3 linked regions of the Oryctolagus cuniculus genome follow. The protein of the gene in region 2 interacts with the protein of the main gene of each other region in a pairwise test. Links are inferred from orthologs where the notes say so. Each region holds a gene or a part of one and is shown on either strand. Other genes may lie near its edges.

The links. The genes of interacting proteins can lie anywhere in the genome.
Region 1: the proteins of THAP7 (region 2) and MTUS2 interact in binary tests that used the Homo sapiens proteins (3 or more experiments, as listed by UniProt). The two-hybrid records come from large-scale screens. The link is inferred for Oryctolagus cuniculus from reciprocal best matches to the Homo sapiens genes THAP7 and MTUS2.
Region 3: the proteins of THAP7 (region 2) and LURAP1 interact in a two-hybrid assay, tested with the Homo sapiens proteins (2 studies listed by BioGRID and IntAct). The two-hybrid records come from large-scale screens. The link is inferred for Oryctolagus cuniculus from reciprocal best matches to the Homo sapiens genes THAP7 and LURAP1.

Annotation. Positions count from the first base shown.
Region 1 is NC_091440.1:85,728,559-85,734,401, reverse strand, and holds the start of MTUS2 (microtubule-associated tumor suppressor candidate 2), read left to right. Parts: upstream 1-2,220; 5' UTR 2,221-2,321; intron 2,322-2,445; exon of another isoform or gene 2,446-2,601; intron 2,602-3,179; exon of another isoform or gene 3,180-3,317; intron 3,318-5,843. UniProt on the Homo sapiens protein: Binds microtubules. Together with MAPRE1 may target the microtubule depolymerase KIF2C to the plus-end of microtubules. May regulate the dynamics of microtubules at their growing distal tip.
Region 2 is NC_091452.1:29,749,238-29,755,015, reverse strand, and holds THAP7 (THAP domain-containing protein 7), read left to right. Parts: upstream 1-2,065; 5' UTR 2,066-2,396; intron 2,397-2,570; coding exon 2,571-2,650; intron 2,651-3,034; coding exon 3,035-3,190; intron 3,191-3,508; coding exon 3,509-3,649; intron 3,650-3,736; coding exon 3,737-4,271; 3' UTR 4,272-4,318; downstream 4,319-5,778. Other genes in the region: tubulin alpha chain, read left to right, coding at 96-248, 1,483-1,779; LZTR1 (leucine-zipper-like transcriptional regulator 1), read right to left, coding at 5,302-5,418, 5,518-5,598, 5,676-5,778. UniProt on the Homo sapiens protein: Chromatin-associated, histone tail-binding protein that represses transcription via recruitment of HDAC3 and nuclear hormone receptor corepressors.
Region 3 is NC_091438.1:126,551,177-126,557,110, reverse strand, and holds the start of LURAP1 (leucine rich adaptor protein 1), read left to right. Parts: upstream 1-2,311; 5' UTR 2,312-2,505; coding exon 2,506-2,703; intron 2,704-5,934. UniProt on the Homo sapiens protein: Acts as an activator of the canonical NF-kappa-B pathway and drive the production of pro-inflammatory cytokines. Promotes the antigen (Ag)-presenting and priming function of dendritic cells via the canonical NF-kappa-B pathway.

The sequences.
Region 1 (5,843 bases), on a different chromosome or scaffold from region 2:
AAAAGAATTAAAAGCAGAGTCTCAAATTAAAGCAGCACTTGTCACCATAGTAAAAATTTCGAAGCAACCTGAGCACCCATTGGTGGATGGACAAACAAACGTGATCTACTCATACCATGGAATATTATTTATCCTTGGAAAGGAAGGAAATTCTGAAACTTTCTATAGCTTGCTGAAGCTTGAGGACACTATGCTATGTGAAATAAGCCAGACACAAATACTGCATGGTTCTACTTTTATGAAGCACTTGGAGTAGTCAAATTCATATATATATATATATATATACACATATATATATGTAGAGAAAAATTAAGAAATTCAACATCATAGTAAGGGAGTTTAATACTCTCAGCAATTGATAGCTCATGGCGATAACATAGTTGAAAGAATACAGAATATTTGCACCACAAAATTAAAGTTTGACCTATAAATCTCAATATAGAACCCTGCACCTAAAAATTAGATGATATACATTGTTCTCAAGAACATGCAGTATTCGTGAGTACAAAGAATCTGTATCAGACCATGTTTTCTGGATGAAATCAAATAAGAAAGCAAAAGCTAGATGACATCTAACACCTCCTGTATTTAGAAATTTACAATCCAGTCCTAAATTACTCATGGATCAAAACAATGATCGATCGTAACAGAAATTAAGACTTTACTACTTCATGATATTGAAAATATCACAGATGAAAATGCATGAGAAAAGGGACCAGTCTTGTGGCCTAGTGGGTTAAGGCATATCCTATGATGAAAACTGAACTAAAGGCAAGTTTATTTAGGTGCAAATTTTTTTCAAAATCCATGCACACTTTTGTCAAGGTATGCATTTTCCATGAACTTTTTTTTTCAAAAAAGGATTTATTTATTTGAAAAGCAGAATTACAGAGAGGCAGAGGAGAGAGAGAGAGAGAGAGAGAGAGAGAGAGAGAGAGAGAGATGTCTTCCATCTTCTGGTTCACTCCCCAAATGGCCACAATGGCCAGAGCTGAGCTTATCCAAAGCCAGGATCCAGGAGGTTCTTCCAGGTCTCCCATGCGGGTACAGGGGCCCAAGGACTTAGGCCATCTTCCACTGCTTTACCAGGCCATAGCAGAGAGCTGGACTGGAAGAGGAGCAGCCGTGTCTCAAACTGGCACTCATATGGGATACCAGCACCGCAGGCGGCAGCTTTACTTGCTATGCCATGGGGCTGGTCCCCTCCATGAGCTTTTTAAGGACTACTGATACAGCCTCCTGTACTATTCCATCCTTCAGATGTGCTAATTGTAAATAAACTCAAACTGTATTCCCCATGTAGTAATTAGGAAGTGATGCATCTGGGGTGTTTATTAACTTTATATATATATATATACACACACACACACACACACACACATAACTGTAGGCTTCTATAATTTCATCTTGAATGATGCTGGGGAGGGGGTGGCAGGAGGGGAGTGGGGAAGGCTTTAAGAGGAATGAAATTACAGTTTCAATTTGGATTGGATTGCATTTTTTTAATACCAGCGAATCAGACTGTTTATTAACACCCAAAAGTGCCAGGAAAAGCTATCAAATCTGCCCTAGATTCTTCCCGAGAAGGGAGATCAGATAGAACCGTTTAAAAAAAGGCAGTGGTGTGGAGAAAAAAAAAGGTGCTATTTCATGGTTTCCCTTGACCAAGCAGTACAGTTTGTTAAAAAAAGATTGAACTAGTATAAAATATTGCTTCAAGTTTTAAAATAGCCACTCCCTAAAAGACTGTAAACCAAGCTAAACGGAGCCAGGACCAACACCATCCGTTCATCTTCATCATGGCAAATCCTCATCAACTTGGTCTCACTTCCTCCCCTGGGGGCGTCTCCCCGCGCCCCCTCCCCGCTGGCCAGAGCTGGAGCCGGACGCCCTCGCGCGCGCGTAAGCGCGGGGCGGCCGGCAGAGGGCGCTGCGGCTCCCCGGCGGCGGGGCTGCGGCCGGCGGCTCCGGGCGAGGGGCGCGGGCCGGGAGGAGGCGCCCGGGGCTCGGCGTGTGCGTCTCCGGGCGGCCGGGAGGGGGTGCGCGCCTCTGCCGCCCCGTGCCACCCCTCCAGCGCGGGCCTCTCGCGCCCGGCCGCTGTCACCGCGCCGGCACCTCGCGGGCGAGGCTCGCGGGCTGCGCTGCGCGCTCGGAGGCCCCGCAGCTTCTCTTTGTCCGGGCGAGGCGGCCGGAGGAGCGGCCGCTGAGGCGGGGAGCGCCCGGGCGTCGTGCGGGCGGCGCGGGGTTCCTCAGCCGCCCGCCGCCCGCCGCCCGGCTGCGCTCGGAGCGGGAGCGGCGGCCCGGGTGGTGCCTGCGGCGAGGTGAGTGCGGGGACGCGGAGCCGGCGGGGGCGGGCGGGGGCGGCTGGGGCGCCTGCGGGTGCGGGGGCGCCGCCTCTCCCGGCAAGTTTGCCGGCTGTCTTTTGCGGCAATCCGTGGCCGGTCGGCGGAGTCCAGACCTGTCAGTAAATCGGAAACTCCAGCTGGGGCGAGGGAGAAAGAGGAGAAGGACGCGTGTTGGAAACGGGGTGGTCGGGATGGCAGTGTCCCGGAGGGACAGCGGTGGGCTTTCGGACTTGGTTCCGGGCTCTATCCGACCCAGGTGAGCGATTCCCGCCCTGCGCAGGGCGCGGCGGGTGGCTCCGGGCGGCTGGGAGACAGGTGCGCGCGCGGAGCCGGCTGCGGGCTGCGCCACTCTCTCGGCCTCTCCAGCGTCCCAGCGCCGTTCCCTCCCGCCCGCCTGCCTCACCTGCTCCGCGGCTCCCTCGGCATCTCCGCCAGGTGCAGCGCGCTGCGTTTCGGAGGCGCTGCTGGGGTAGTTGGAGCGATTCCTCCCCATCCACCCTCGGCTTTGGATAATTTGGTCTGTGCCTTCGTCTTAATTTAGTACGGATGTGTTATTTCCTTCCAGCGTTCTAATGGGGGAGCAGGGACGCGGCTCGCTACGTCTCCCCCCACCCCCCTGTCTCATTCTGAGCAGAAGGAATCGCAGGCATACAAGTGATGTTACTACCGTTCTATTTTAAATACAAACACGGGAAGAACTCTTGCAGCATACCAGAGGCGCCTGTACTCTGTTATATAAGTGCTTTAAAAAAAATCGCCTCGTATTGGTGAAGTTCCGAGTGGATAGCAAAGCAGCTAAGAGAGTGTGGAGGTGGCAGAACCTGCTCATCTCTGCTGTCGACCAAAACTTTGCTTCACGGTAAACGCTGGGCTTTTCAGATGCCACGCAGGAAAAAAACCTCGGAAACCTCACTGGGTAGAATTGCAAAGCGTTTAAGAAAACAGATTTTGTCAGCTCTGTGCTGGACATCGGTGAGCACTGTGTGACCACTTACGGGGGTCTGGGGAGGTCACAGGTATCCGTTAACGACTTTCACTTATTGAATGGTTTTATTTTGATCTCTGATGGAAACCTAGTAATTGTTGAGTTGCCAGTTATCAAAGGCGTCCCAGACACGAAACAGAACCCCCACCCACGCGCATTCATGGTTATTTATTTATTTTTGGGTGAGGAGAAGAGGAAAGAAGAAAAGGATCAGAGGTACTGTGTTAAGGGCCCCTTAGTCCGCACCCCCCCACACCTGCTGTAATTGGTTTGGGGAGATACCCTGGCGTCTGCATTGTTAGTGGTGATTCTGATCCCTAGCCAGAGATGGGACCCATTGGAAAGCATTCTGTGAGTTTGCTGCTTTGTAACTTAAGCCATTCTCTGGTGGTTTAATAAGGTAGGTCAAAAATACATGGGGTTAGAAATACCGGAAGAGAATGACAATAGGAGATTTTTCCAGGAATTCCAGTCCCTGCTGAGACTGGTTGATATCTATCAGGGACCCATCGCTCTGCCTCCTGTGCTGAGCTGGGTGCTAAGTGGTACCCTGGCTCGTGCAGAGGTGGAAGTGAAAGTTGAGTTACTACACAAATTATGCTTTTATGTTTATGTGAGAAAGGAACCACATCTTATTAAGGGTTATTCTCATTCAGGCTTCTCCCCCTCAAATCAAAAACTTATGTTGATATAGATGAGTAAATTCCATGCAGAAAGCTTTTTATGATATTTCAGGTCTGAAATCAACCTGACTGCTGAATCAGTGCTTCTTTCTGCCTTATGTAACTCCCAGGATCCACATCGGAGAACAGCTCTCGTGGGTGGTTTATGAAGGCTTATATAAGAGCTACGACTGTGCTTTTGGTTCTCTCTTAAACTCCCTGTTTGGGCTGTTACATAATTGACTGGGAACTAGGCTGGTAAAGCCCGAATCGGGGGAGGATGCACAAGCCCCGTTCTGCACATGCACTTTTATAATGAATTGCTGCTGCTGAATTAGAGGGAACAGCAGGGATGGTGGTTTGTGAAAGGGAGATAAGAATAGCATCTCGGGGATTGATGTAATAGAGGACTGTTATGTTGAGCGATTTTCTGGAGGTTTGCATGCTGTGGTGGAACCTCTGGTCTGTTGTCTCTCTCAGCAGAGGCGGATTGCCGGGGAGGCTGATGACTCTTAAGCTCCAGGCTTCTTCAGAGCCCCTGGGAGGGGCCCTAGCACTGTGTTTGCAGGGTCACACCTGAGTTTGCAATTGTAAGTTTGGGTTGTTTTTAAACAGATAGGATGCTCTTTCTACCCTTACACACACACACCACCACTATATAAACCCTAAGATTGCACAAACCTGACTCTGCCTCCAGCTGCAGGTTGTGTCCAACTGTTAGCTCATAAAAGTGCCTATTCTTATTTTCCTTCTTGTCATCCTATGCAATGATACAATAAAAGCAATCTGGCCAGTATTGTAGCTGACTTGCTGCAAAAATGCACATTGCTAGAACATAGGTCTATGGGGAGCTATTGAAATCAGGTGGTTGGGGCCGGCTCCGTGGCTCACTTTGTTAATCCTCTGCCTGTGGCGCTGGCATCCCATATGGGCACCCGGTTGCTCCTCTTCCAGTCCAACTCTCTGCTGTGGCCTGGGAGGGCAGTGGAGAATGGCCCAAGTTCTTGGGCCCCTGCACCCGCATGGGAGACCAGGAAGAAGCACCTGGCTCCTGGCTTCGGATTGGCATAGCTCTGACTGTAGTGGCCATTTGGGGGGTGAACCAATGAAAGGAAGACCTTTCTCTTTGTCTCTCTCTCTCTCTCTCTCTCTCTCTCTCTGTCTAATTCTGTCTGTCAAATAAAAAAAAAAAAAGAAATTAGGTGGTTACCTAGAGAGCCAGCTCTTAGCCTCGCCATGTCACAGGAGGCAGACTTTTCTGGATCTGAGTGTGGCCAGAGGTAGAGAAAAGCAGATATGGCCGCTAGACGGGAGCAGAAGGGTTACAGCTCTTCCTTGTCCCAGAAGCAGCCTGCTAAGGGGAAAAGCAATGAGAAATCAACTACTAAATTAATAAAAAGTTAATTGGAACAGATAGCATCAGCTCTATAGGAGATAGTCTTGTGAGCTCTGTGGGGTCAGACTCTGGTAGGAAATTTAAACAGCATGCAGACAAACGAAGATCTGGAAAATCTCTTGCATTTGTTTTCAATGCAGGTCAAGGAGGAATAAAGAATTTTGGCTTGACCCCATGGGCAATTTTTAAATTATTTAAAGTTGATTTATTTGAGAGAAAGAGAGAGCCCCTCATCTACTGATGCACTCCCCAAAGGCCCACAATGGCCAGGACTGGGCCAGGTCAAAGCTGGGGACTGGGAGGTCCATCCAGGTCTCCCACAAGAGTGGCAGGAACCCAACCACTTGAGCCATCAGCTGCTGCTTCCCAGGGTTGCACATGAGCAGGAAACCAGAATCAGGAATGAACTTAGGACTCAAACCCAGGCATCCTAACCAGGATCTTAACTGCTATGC
Region 2 (5,778 bases):
CCACCTACGCCCCGGTCATCTCGGCGGAGAAGGCCTACCACGAGCAGCTGTCCGTGGCCGAGATCACCAACGCCTGCTTCGAGCCGGCCAATCAGATGGTGAAGTGCGACCCTCGCCACGGCAAGTACATGGCCTGCTGCATGCTGTACAGGGGCGACGTGGTCCCGAAGGACGTCAACGCGGCCATCGCCACCATCAAGACCAAGCGCACCATCCAGTTTGTGGACTGGTGCCCCACCGGCTTTAAGGTAGGCCTGGTGCCGGGAGGTGTCACCCCGTCAGTGGGCAGCAGACCTCTGGGAGAATGCTGTCCCCACGCCCACACCCCATGGGGAGACTGCAATGACAACCAGTTTAGAAATTAATTCAGTAAATGTCTAATAGAAAGCTAGTCTCTGAGGTGTACTGTGATTAGCAGGCTGCGTGCCCTGACACACCTGGTTTGCATCTTCATGCCCTTTGGTTTTTAACCTTGTCCCCAGTGATTTTCCCCATAGACAAAGCTGTGGATTCCACATTTGTAAGCTCTGATGAGTTCCAGTGTATTGGGGGAGCTTCGAGTTCCAGAATCATTCCGATGGAAAATGACATGAGAAACCCAGAGCAGTGTGTCTGCCTTTTCCCACGTGGAGGGCTGTGCTTCCTCTGATCACACACCACTTGTTAGACGCTCTCAGCCCCCTTCATGACAGCTTGACACAGATGACCTATTTTTTTCTTTCAAGATATGTTTTATGTATTTGAAAGGCAGAGTTGCAGAGAGGCAGAGGCAGAGAGAGAGAGGTCTTCCATCTGCTGGTTCACTCCCCAAATGGCCACAACTGCCAGAGGTGGGCTCTTCCAGAGCCAGGAGCTTCCTCCAGGTCTCCCACATGGGTGCAGGGGCCCCAGGACTTGGGCCATCTGCTGCTTTCCCAGGCACATTAGCAGGAATCTGGATTAGAAGTGGAGCATGGGCTGGCGCTGTGGCGTAGCAGCTAAAGCAGCTGCCTGTAGTGCCAGCGTCTCATATGGGGACCAGTTCAAGTCCCAGCTGCTCCACTTCTGATCCAGCTCTCCGCTGTGGTCTGGGAAAGCAGTGGACGATGCCCCAAGCCCTTGGGCCCCTGCACCCACGTGGGAGAACCGGAAGAAGCTCCTGGCTTCGGGTCAGCACAGCTCCAGCCATTGCAGCCATCTGGGGAGTGAACAAGCGGATGGACGATCTCTCCCTCTCCCTTTCTGTAACTCTGACTTTCAAATAAATAAATAAATCTTTAAAAACAAAAACAAGTGGAGCATCCGGGACTCGAACTAGCGCCCATGATGGGATGCTGGCATCGGGGGGCAGTGGCTTACGCTAAGCCACAATGCCCCCCCCCCCAGCAGAGTCTTAATTGCTATGCCAAGGGCCTGTTCCCAGGGCGCCGTTTTCAACTGGCACACAGTGCCTGTCTTTAGAAGTAAGCCGCCCTTTCTGACTGCTGTGTCCTCCTCCGGCAGGTGGGCATCAACTACCAGCCCCCCACCGTGGTGCCCGGGGGCGACCTGGCCAAGGTGCAGCGGGCCGTGTGCATGCTGAGCAACACCACGGCCATCGCCGAGGCCTGGGCCCGCCTGGACCACAAGTTCGACCTCATGTACGCCAAGCGGGCCTTCGTGCACTGGTACGTGGGCGAAGGCATGGAGGAAGGGGAGTTCTCCGAGGCCCGCGAGGACCTGGCCGCCCTGGAGAAGGATTACGAGGAGGTGGGCGTGGACTCCGTGGAGGCGGAGGCCGAGGAGGGGGAGGAGTACTGAGAACCTGCGGTCCCCTCCCAGTGGGTCACTGCAGGACCTATTTTACCTATTAAAGTTTGGGCACTGAGCCATCGCCTGTCGTGTGCTGTACTCTGACACGCGTGCGTCCAAGCGGGTCTCGGGCAGAGCCGTGCGACTCTACGTGAGCTTCTCCAGCGTGTGTGCCAGTTCGGCCCCTGCGCCCCTCCCGGGACTAGCAACTAGGGGACGGCTTCCTCCGGACTCGGAGCCCGCGCCTCCAGGCCCCGCCCCGTGGGTGGAGCCACGGAGCCCCGCCCCGCGCGTCTCGAGAGGCCCCCGCCCGCCTCCCCTCAAGTCCCCGTCTCCGGCGCCGCCAGGAGCTCAGCACGGTTCTGCGGGCCGGGGGCGGGACCCTCGACTCAGTCAGGGGCCTTCCGGGAGGAGGCCGGGGCCCGTGCCGCAGCCGCTCCATCCGTAACGGGAATTTCAACGGGAGCCCACAGCACTAGCACGGCGCAGGCGCGACGGCCGCCCACGCCCCGCGGCGCGCCCGCTACGCCCTCTTCCGGCGCCGCCCGCTCCCGAGTGTCTACGGTCTCGACTTCCGCCGCGCGCCACCCCTCGCGAGACTTCGGCGGCGCAGCCATGGCGAGACCGTGAGTGCCGCCGACCGGAGTCAAGAACACGGGCTGTGACTGGGTTTGGGCGCGATCGGGCCGGGAGCGGGAGCCCCGACGGGCCAGGGCACCCTGTGCGGGCGGCGGCTGAGAGCGCGAGGCCAGCCGGGGCCCCGACGGCCGCCCGCGACCTAGCTTCCACCTCTCCCCCAGATGCCGCGTCACTGCTCCGCCGCCGGCTGCTGCACACGGGACACGCGCGAGACGCGCAACCGCGGCATCTCCTTCCACAGGTCAGCGCGCGTGCGTGGTGGCGCGCGCGGGGGCTCCCTTGCGCAGGCGCCTGTTGGGGCCGCGCCTTGCGCATGCGCGCCGCACCTTTTTCGGGCCCTGGCGGGATTTGAACTTGCGGGTGGCGCGTGCCAGTCGAAGGCGGTGGGGTGGGGGGTTCCGGAGGGATTGAGGCCAGTGCAGGAGAGATGGACGCGGTGGGGTCCAGCAGGCTTGGGCTCGTTGCTTTCTGGCCCTTCCCTGAGCTCGGCGTCTCGAGGCCTCAGTCGTCGCCATGCCCGGGCGGGCTGGCGCGTACCCCGCCGGTCTCGGCCGCTGCGGGTGCGGCTGTGGGGCCTGCTCTAGCTGCCGGGCACTCATGCACGCACTGGTTGACGGCTTCGCAGACTCCCCAAGAAGGACAACCCGAGGCGAGGCCTGTGGCTGGCCAACTGCCAGCGGCTGGACCCCAGCGGCCAGGGCCTGTGGGACCCGGCATCCGAGTACATCTACTTCTGCTCCAAACACTTCGAAGAGAACTGCTTTGAGCTGGTGGGAATCAGGTGGGCCCCCTGGCCAGGCCCGCGCAGGGCGGGGCGGCCGTGTGTTCCCGAGAGGGTCCCTCCAGCAGCCCGCGTGAGGACCGGCAGGTCCAGGGCCGGAAAGTCCCTCTACCGCCGTGAGCGCTGCCCGGCCCTCCCAGCAGGAATCCCTTGGGGCTGCTGATGGAGTGTTGCAGACACCTCAGTTTCGGGGAGCCGTGCAGGGAAGCCAGGGAAGCGTGGTGTCGCCTTCCACCACCCTCAGCGCCGGGACCGGGCGGTGGGGGGTTGAGGGGCAGCACCCGCTCTCCCGCTCACCAGGCCGCTTCCTCCCCACAGTGGGTACCACAGGCTGAAGGAGGGCGCGGTCCCCACCATCTTTGAGTCTTTTTCCAAGCTGCGCCGCAGCGCCAAGAGCAAAGGGCACGGTTACCCGCCCGGCCCCCCGGACATCGGCAGGCTGCGGCGATGCCGGAAGCGGTAGGTGCGGCGGGCGGAGGCCCGGCAGCCCCGCGGAGCGCACCCCCAGCCCGGCCCGGCTGGCAGGCTGTCTCTCTGTCCCCGCAGCTGCGCCGAAGGCCGGGGGCCCACCACCCCGTTCTCGCCACCCCCGCCGGCCGACGTCAGCTGCTTCCCTGCGGAAGAGGCCTCGGCGCCCGCCACGCTGCCAGCCTCGCCCGCTGGGAGGCTGGAGCCCGGCCTGAGCAGCCCCTTCTCAGACCTGCTGGGCCCGCTGGGCGCCCAGGCGGACGAGGCGGGCTGTAGCGCGCAGCCCTCGCCGCTGGAGCCGCGGCCCGTGTCCCCGTCCGCCTACATGCTGCGCCTGCCGCCCCCTGCCGGCGCCTACATCCAGAACGAGCACAGCTACCAGGTGGGCAGCGCCCTGCTCTGGAAGCGCCGGGCCGAGGCGGCCTTGGACGCCCTGGACAAGGCCCAGCGGCAGCTGCAAGCCTGCAAGCGGCGGGAGCAGCGGCTGCGGCTGCGGCTGACCAAGCTGCAGCAGGAGCGGGCCCGGGAGAAGCGGGCTCAGGCCGACGCCCGGCAGACGCTGAAGGAGCATGTGCAGGACTTCGCCATGCAGCTGGGCAGCAGCATGGCCTGAGGGGGCTGGGGGCGCGGCCGGACGCCGGAATAAAGTGGATTCCAGGAGGTGCTGTTGCCTAGCTCGGTTGGGGCTCAAACACTGGGCCTGCCAGGGGTTCACCCTGGGACCGTGGGTGGGAGCGTCAGAGTGCAGGGCTCACCCATCCCACCCGTCCCACCTGCCACCCAGCTGAAAGCTTTCTGGCCTCAGACACAGTGTTCCAGCTCCAGACGGTCACTTCATTTATTCACAGTCGCGGGGTGGGGGGCAGTGAGGAGCGGGCCTTGCGGATCACCGGATCGTCGTGGGGGTTTGCAAAGCCAGCCCTGGGGAAGGGGGTTGTGATGAGCCTGCCAGGAGTGTGGTGAGACCCGCAGCCTGTGGAAACCGTGGGGCAGCCGGCTCTGTGGCCCGCTAAGGGGGACTCCAAGCTGCCTGCTGCTTCCTCCCCAGCACCCAGCGCCTCTGCAGGCTCCTTCCTGGCTTCATGGCTGCTTCCCTCCCTGCCTGCCAGGGCCTCCTGTCCACCTGCCCACAACCCCCTGGGCGCTATGCAGAGCACAGGCAGAAGAGGAAAGCCCTGCATCTCCCCACGGGGTCCTGCCAGCCAGGAGAGGCACAGTGGTGCCCCCCACTGCCGGACACACTCGCTGGCCTGGCCCCATCACGGCTCGAGTCACACCACACCTGCCCCTCACTGGTCTCTGCTCACAAGCTGCTCCAAGGGTGGCCAGGCCGACTCTAGGGCCACAGTCCTCTCCCCAAAACAGGCAATGGGCCCCAGTGCCTGGATCCACAACACCCAGGCCACAGGGGCAAGGCCCAGCCTCCCAAAGCCACATTGTCTGGTCATCTGTCACCTCCTGTGGCAACCCCCCCAGGGGAGGGTGCCAGGTAGGGAGGGGTCTGCCATACCATCTCCCTGGGACACCTGTTCTTGGAGGGGCGGGGCTCCCTGGCCCAGCAGGTGCAGCTGTCACAAGCACACTGCATGGCCGGCGCAGGCAGGGACAGTCATTGTCCGCACAGGGCAGGGTGCTACAAGCCCTCAGATGTCAGCGCCCAGCTCCGCACACTGCTTGTCGGAGATGTGGGAGGCCAGCGAGTCGATTATGTCCAGGAGCAGCTGCTGGCTCAGCGACCGCAGCGTGGGCAGCTTGGAGACCTGCGGAGGTGGCCGGGAGACAGACACGGGCTCGCAGGCCGGCAGGGGTGGGGGTGGGGCCTCCGAGGACAGGGCGAGGGAGGGCTGGGGTGGGCTGACCTTGGTGAACTGGTGCACAATGATGTGCAGGCAGTGTCGCTTCATGTCCAGCGCCTGCGTCTTGTCGGCTGCCTCCAGGATCTGCCACAGCAGGGACCCTGAGGTGCTGTCTCCTGACCCCCACCCCGACCACCCTCAGTGGGCCCGGGGGGCACTACCTGCAGCACGTTCTGCACCGTCACGTTCATTTCCAGGTTCTGCTTGCAGTAGGCCTGCAGCCGGTTGTTGTAGAAGCCGTAGTAGTAGGGGGCCGCGAACAGG
Region 3 (5,934 bases), on a different chromosome or scaffold from region 2:
CACAGGGTTGGCCCGGCACAGTGGGTTACACTGCCACCTGCGACCCTGCGGGTATCCCACAGGAGCACCTGTTAGAGTTCCAGCTGATCTGCTTCCAATCCAGCTTCCTGCTAATGCACCTGAGAAACCAGTGGAAGATGGCCCAAGTGCTTGGGCCTCTGCCACCCACATGAGAGACCAGAATGTTCCAGACTCCTGGCTTCAGCCTGGCCCAGCCCCAGCTGTTGTAGCCATTTGGAGGGTGAACCAGCAGATGATATTTTTGCGCTAACTCTGTCTTTTTTTTTTTTTTTTTTTTTTGACAGGCAGAGTGCACAGTGAGAGAGAGAGACAGAGAGAAAGGTCTTCCTTTGCCGTTGGTTCACCCTCCAATGGCTGCCATGGCAGGCGTGCTGCGGCCGGCGCACCGCGCTGATCCGAAGGCAGGAGCCAGGTGCTTCTCCTGGTCTCCCATGGGGTGCAGGGCCCAAGCACTTGGGCCATCCTCCACTGCACTCCCTGGCCACAGCAGAGAGCTGGCCTGGAAGAGGGGCAACCGGGACAGAATCCAGGCAGTAGAACCCGGTGTGCCAGCGCTGCAAGGCGGAGGATTAGCCTAGTGAGCCGCGGCGCCAGCCTCTAACTCTGTCTTTCTAATAAATACATAAATTTTAAAAAATAGTCTGCTCCCAAGGCTGGTACTTGGTAGGCACTCCATCGTATTTGTTAAAATCATTCATTTGATTTTTGAACAAAAGTTTATTGAAAAATACTATAAATAAGTTAATGTAATCCTATCAATCATACCTTCTAAACAGTCTTCCATTGTGGTCTAATTCTCTAACCTCACAAGGCCCTGACTCAAGCCATTTTCAGTCTTTTGTCTTCCAACTAGTCTCCTTGATTTTTATCCTAATCCTTTCTCCCTGCTAAATGCAAAGTAAATTTTCAGAAAGGCAAATGTTTTGCCAGTCTCTGATTTAAAACCTTCCCATTGGGACCGGTGTTCTGATGCAGTGTGCATTCCATAATGGAGTGGATGGAAGATCTCTGCCTCTCCTCCTCTCTCTATTGCTCTTTCAAATAGATAGATGCTTAAAAAAGAGAGAGAAAAGAAAACCCCTTTCTCAGAAAAAAAAAAAAAAACTTTAAGAAAAACTTAAATTACAAAGGATACAATCATATGAACTAGAAATAATGATGGAAATATGTAGTCATGGAGAAAGGTATCTGTAGTTATCTCATTAGGAAGCCAATAGACAATGTTTAAAAGTAGGAAGTGGTGGGGCCATGTGCTGCGGCATAGCAGGTAAAGCCATGGTCTGCAGTGCCGGCATCCCATATGGGCGCCGATTCAAGTCCCAGCTGCTCCACTTCCAATCCAGCTCTCTGCTATGGCCTGGGAGAAAGCAGTAGAAGATAGCCCAAGTCTTTGGACCCCTGCATCTATGTGGAAGACCCAGAAGAAGCTCTTGGCTCTTAGCTACGGATCGTCCCCAGCCCCAGCTGTTGTGGCCAACTGGGGAGTGAACCAGCAGATGGAAGATTTCTCTCTGTGTGTAACTTTGTATTTCAAATAAATAAATAAATCTTTTTTTAAAATTAGGAAGTGGTGCTGTTAGCCTATTTGTTGTTCAGAGTGTACACACCAGGAAAAAAAACTAAAAGTGGTTGCCTCTAGGGAGTGGGGCCTGGAGGTGTGAAAGGGAAGGGCCAGGGCACCTGTCTTCATGGTACAGCCTTCTGTAACCATGGACTGGAGTTGCTTGGGTTAAAAGCCAAAACCAAACCAAATTTTTCATGGCTCCTCCTTGGCTCTGGAAACATCTTCTATAGCCCTGTTGCTCAAAGTGTGGTCCCCAGACCCACAAGCAGCATGACCATTCCCTGGGAGCCTGTTGGAAAAGCAGAATCTCAGCCCCACCTGCAGATTTACAGGATCAGAACCTGCATTTTAAGATTGGCAAGTGATGCACAGGCCCCTGGGGCTTCAGTACTGGTTGCTCCTCACTGGCCATCCACTCCTTTCGTCTGAATTCCAGCTCCCGGGGAGTGTGTGCAGGTGGCTAGCTTGATTTTAGCCGCCCGCCCGTTTTAGTTCCAGCTGGCCTACTCCAGGAAACCTTCCAAACCTTCTGTGCAGCTCTCTGAGACTTCTGTTCCTGAAATTCGCACATCTCTAAGGCTTCGCTTTCATTCAGCAAACGTTTATTTTGGGTGCTCGTTGCGTGCCTAGCTGGAGTCAGCGCCGGGGTAGGGAGAAGGCGCTGAGCTCTCCGGGTGCACGTAGGATCGCCCAGCCTCACGGCACGCAGGGCCAGGGGTTGTGTGCGCAGCACTCGGAGACACAGCCTCACACGGCTCTGCGCGGCTTTTCTGAGAGTTACGGCGCCCTCCTCCCGCCCCCGCGCAGTGCCGGGCGGGGACCCACCGGTTCCGCTCCGCGTTAGCAGGGGCGACAGAAAGACCCCCGGGAGCAGGACCCCAGCGTCCGGCCGCCCATCCCCGCTCGCGCTTGGGGCCCGCATGGAGGGGCCGGTGGAGTCCCAGACTCCTGACCTGCGAGACGTGGAGGGCAAGGTGGGCAGGAAGACCCCTGAAGGGCTGCTCCGTGGGCTGCGAGGCGAGTGGGAGCCGGAACCCTCTGGCGCCCTGCTGCTCCCGGGGTCGCCCGGAACGGGCCACGGCCTGGGGGACAGGATCATGGCGCTGAGGATGGAGCTGGTGAGTGTGCGGGATGAGTCCCCCCGCGTAGGGCTGGAAGGGACGGACTCACGCCCCCGGAGGTGGTCTGGAGAGTCCCCACCTAACTCCTTGGGGTCCCTCCCAGATCTGTCGTAAAGCCCGGTCTGGAGGTGGGGTGACGTCCTTTTAATTGTCCCCCGAGGGTGAGTGCGCTGTGGATGCGTCCTGAGGACTAGGGCTGGGAGACGCAGGCTCTGGGAAGTTTTTCCTGCCGAGTAATTGGGGGGGGGGGGGGCTGGGAAGTTCAGAGAACCTATCGCAGCACGCTTCAGCGTCCTCCCGGTACGGGGCCACTCGTTCCCCCAGCCCCCATCCCAAGGCAGCCAGTCTTTCTCTTCCTGCAAACTGGGAATGGGCTTGGTTCCTGTGAGGAGGGGGGTGTTCTCGCTAGGATTCGGCACACAAGAGATCTGAAGGGCAGAGCCGCTGAAAGCGGACTGGAGCGCTGGAGACCCCGCCTCCGCGTTCCCTAGCCCCACTTGGTGTGGGCATTTGAAAGTTCCAAGACTCAGCAGAGACAGCAGCCGGCGCTTCGGTCCCCTCACCTGCGACTCAGCCTCCTCCCCCGCACCTTCTTGGCAAAGAGAGGCCACAGGGCAGCAGCCCTCCCCTATCCCAGTTGCTGCTGGTCTAGATTCTGAGCCAAAAGGGCAGCTGGGGCCCCCCACAGACTCCCCAGGGCCCTAGGTGGCTCCCCAGAGCCCTGGTTCCGGTGAAGGGGTGATTTACACCTGCCACGGCTTTGCAGCCAGTTCTGGAGAGCTGAGGAATTGCCCGCTGCTCCCTGGCCCCAGACCAGGAGCTGACTGTGAGTGTGTCAGCCAAGTCTTCCTGGAGCCCCACTTTGTGCCCAGTTCTGGGAGGAAGCAAAGGGAGGAGGTCAGAGAGGCTCCCGCTCAGGCCCCAAATTAGAGACTCTGAGGAGAGCTTGATGGGCGGAGCAGTCAAGGGAGGCTCCCTGGGGGTAGTTCTTGGATGCCAAGTGTGCACCTGGCCTTGAAGGTTGGAGGCAAGTGCCAAACCCAGAGCAGGGCTGTGACTGTATCCAGCTATGCTGGGGGGGGGGGGGGGACCTCACTGTGCAAACTTTAGCCCAAGGCCTAGAAAGAGACAACCTGGACTGCCCTGCTTTGCAAGGAACTTTGACTGTGTATGTGCCGGCATCGTGCCCAGCCCTTTATGTGATATTCTCTTGCAACCCTGTTAGGTAAGGAATACCTGCCTAACACAGGTAACACCAGGCACAGAGAGGTTAACTCACTGCCCAAGGTCATGAAAAAAGTGAAAAGCAGAGCCAGGATTTGAACCCAGGTCTGCTGACCACCACTTTGCATCTTTACAACTGAGACCTGTTCTGTGCTGGACACTTTACAATACGTTTTGTATCACTGGAATGAGAAAAGTGGTCATCATTTCCCCCACCTCGGATACACTTGCAGGTGCTGGTTCAGGAGCTTCCTGAACTCACAAGGAGCCTGGAGGCGCCACGCCTTGTCTTTCTGCCTCTCTCTTCTGCTTCGGTGGAGACCACCTGTTTATAAGCTGTAGGGGTACATTTCACTTCTGATTGTCTCTCTCTGTATTTTTGACCCAGCTGGCCTGGGGCATGAGGCTGGATGTAAAGGGTACAACTTAGGGAGCCTTCCTGAGCCAGGACAAGGAGAGGGGCCCTAGCATTCCCTCCACCCTCCTCAGGCTTGGAGTCCTCAGTCTCCGACCTAGAGGAGCAAGGGGTGGGGCAGGGGTTTCCCTGGGGCCACTGGAGGCAAGACTGGTGCAAGCCCTCTAAGAATTGCCCTGCAGTTGTCCTTCTTCCCTGGGGCTCCCATGCAGGGAGGGGCAGTCCTGCCCTTGTGGCCAAGGTCGGTCCTGCCTCTAGGGCTCTTCTTACCCTTCTTCTGCTGTAGAATGAGTGAATGAGTCAGACTCTGGAATGAGACCCTGGGTTTCGTGGGAATGGGAAACAATGCAACCTCCCCTCCTTAGTTCTCCCACCCAAAGAACTGTTGCTAGGGCAACAGCAGAGCCAACAGCGGAGCCGGTGTGAAGCAGCTATAGGCAGGAAGCGGGAAGGCATGGGTTCAAGTCTTGGCTGTGCTTCTGAATCACTGTGTGATCTTGAGCAGGCCCTGTCTCTCCTCGCCTCACTTTTTGTGCCTGTGGAACCTGCCTGCTGGGGCTGGGTCTTTTCCTGCAGGTTCCGTTTTGCCTGGGGCCGGAGGCTGCCCCCAGCAGGACCCCAGCATAGGCAGTCTATGTATTATCAAGGACAGGAGGAGGGAATCCGAATCCTCCTGGGAAGAGAATGGGGTTTGAGTAGCTTCTGAGGCTGTAGCTCTGCTCAGCTGTTTTTCCTCTACTCTGCTTCCAAAGAGAGAGTGTGAAATGAGTGCTGCTTTTTCTGGCCAGAAAGCCTCGCTTTCTTCCATTCTGGGGAGAGTGATGCTGTCACAGGCAGGGAATCCCATGACCAACCGTGGATTACAGAATCTGTTCCTCAGATTCCTTCTGCCCCAGCCCTCCCCGCCCTGCCCCTTCCCAGCCCTAGGGGCCACCTGAAGGGCCAAGAATAGCCTGGGCAGGACCTGCTGTCAGGACTTGGGAAGAAGGGAGCTAGCCAGACAGTGTCAGTGCAGAATGCTAAGTATTGCTGGAGCCCAAGGAGGGGCTCCTGGAAGCGACTGTGTGTGTTGAGAAAGATCACTTCCAATTGGTGGGGAGCATGTGCTTTTTTTTTTTTTTTAAAGATTTATTTATTTATTTGGAAGGCAAAGAGGCAGAGGCAGAAAGAGAGAGAGGTCTTCCGTCTGCTGGTTCACTCCTCAGATGGCTGCAATGGCTGGAGCTGTGCCTATCCGAAGCCAGGAGCCAAGAGCTTCTTCTGGGTCTCCCACGTGGGTGCAGGGGCCCAAGGACTTGGGCCATCTTCTACTGCTGTCCCAGGCCATAGCAGAGAGCTGGATCGGAAGTGGAGCAGCCGGGACTAGAACCAGCGTCCATATGGGATGCCAGCACTGTATACAGCAGCTTTACCTACTACACAACAACGCCAGCCCCGAGCATGTACTTTTTCTTCTGGTTGGTGTGCTTCTCTCCACCCTTTGTCTGGCTGAGTTCTACTTAAGCCTCAAGGTTCAGCTTCTGCCCTTTATCCGAGGGAACATTTCTTCACCTCCCCTGGTCAGGTTAAGGGCCTCTAGGTTAGACCCT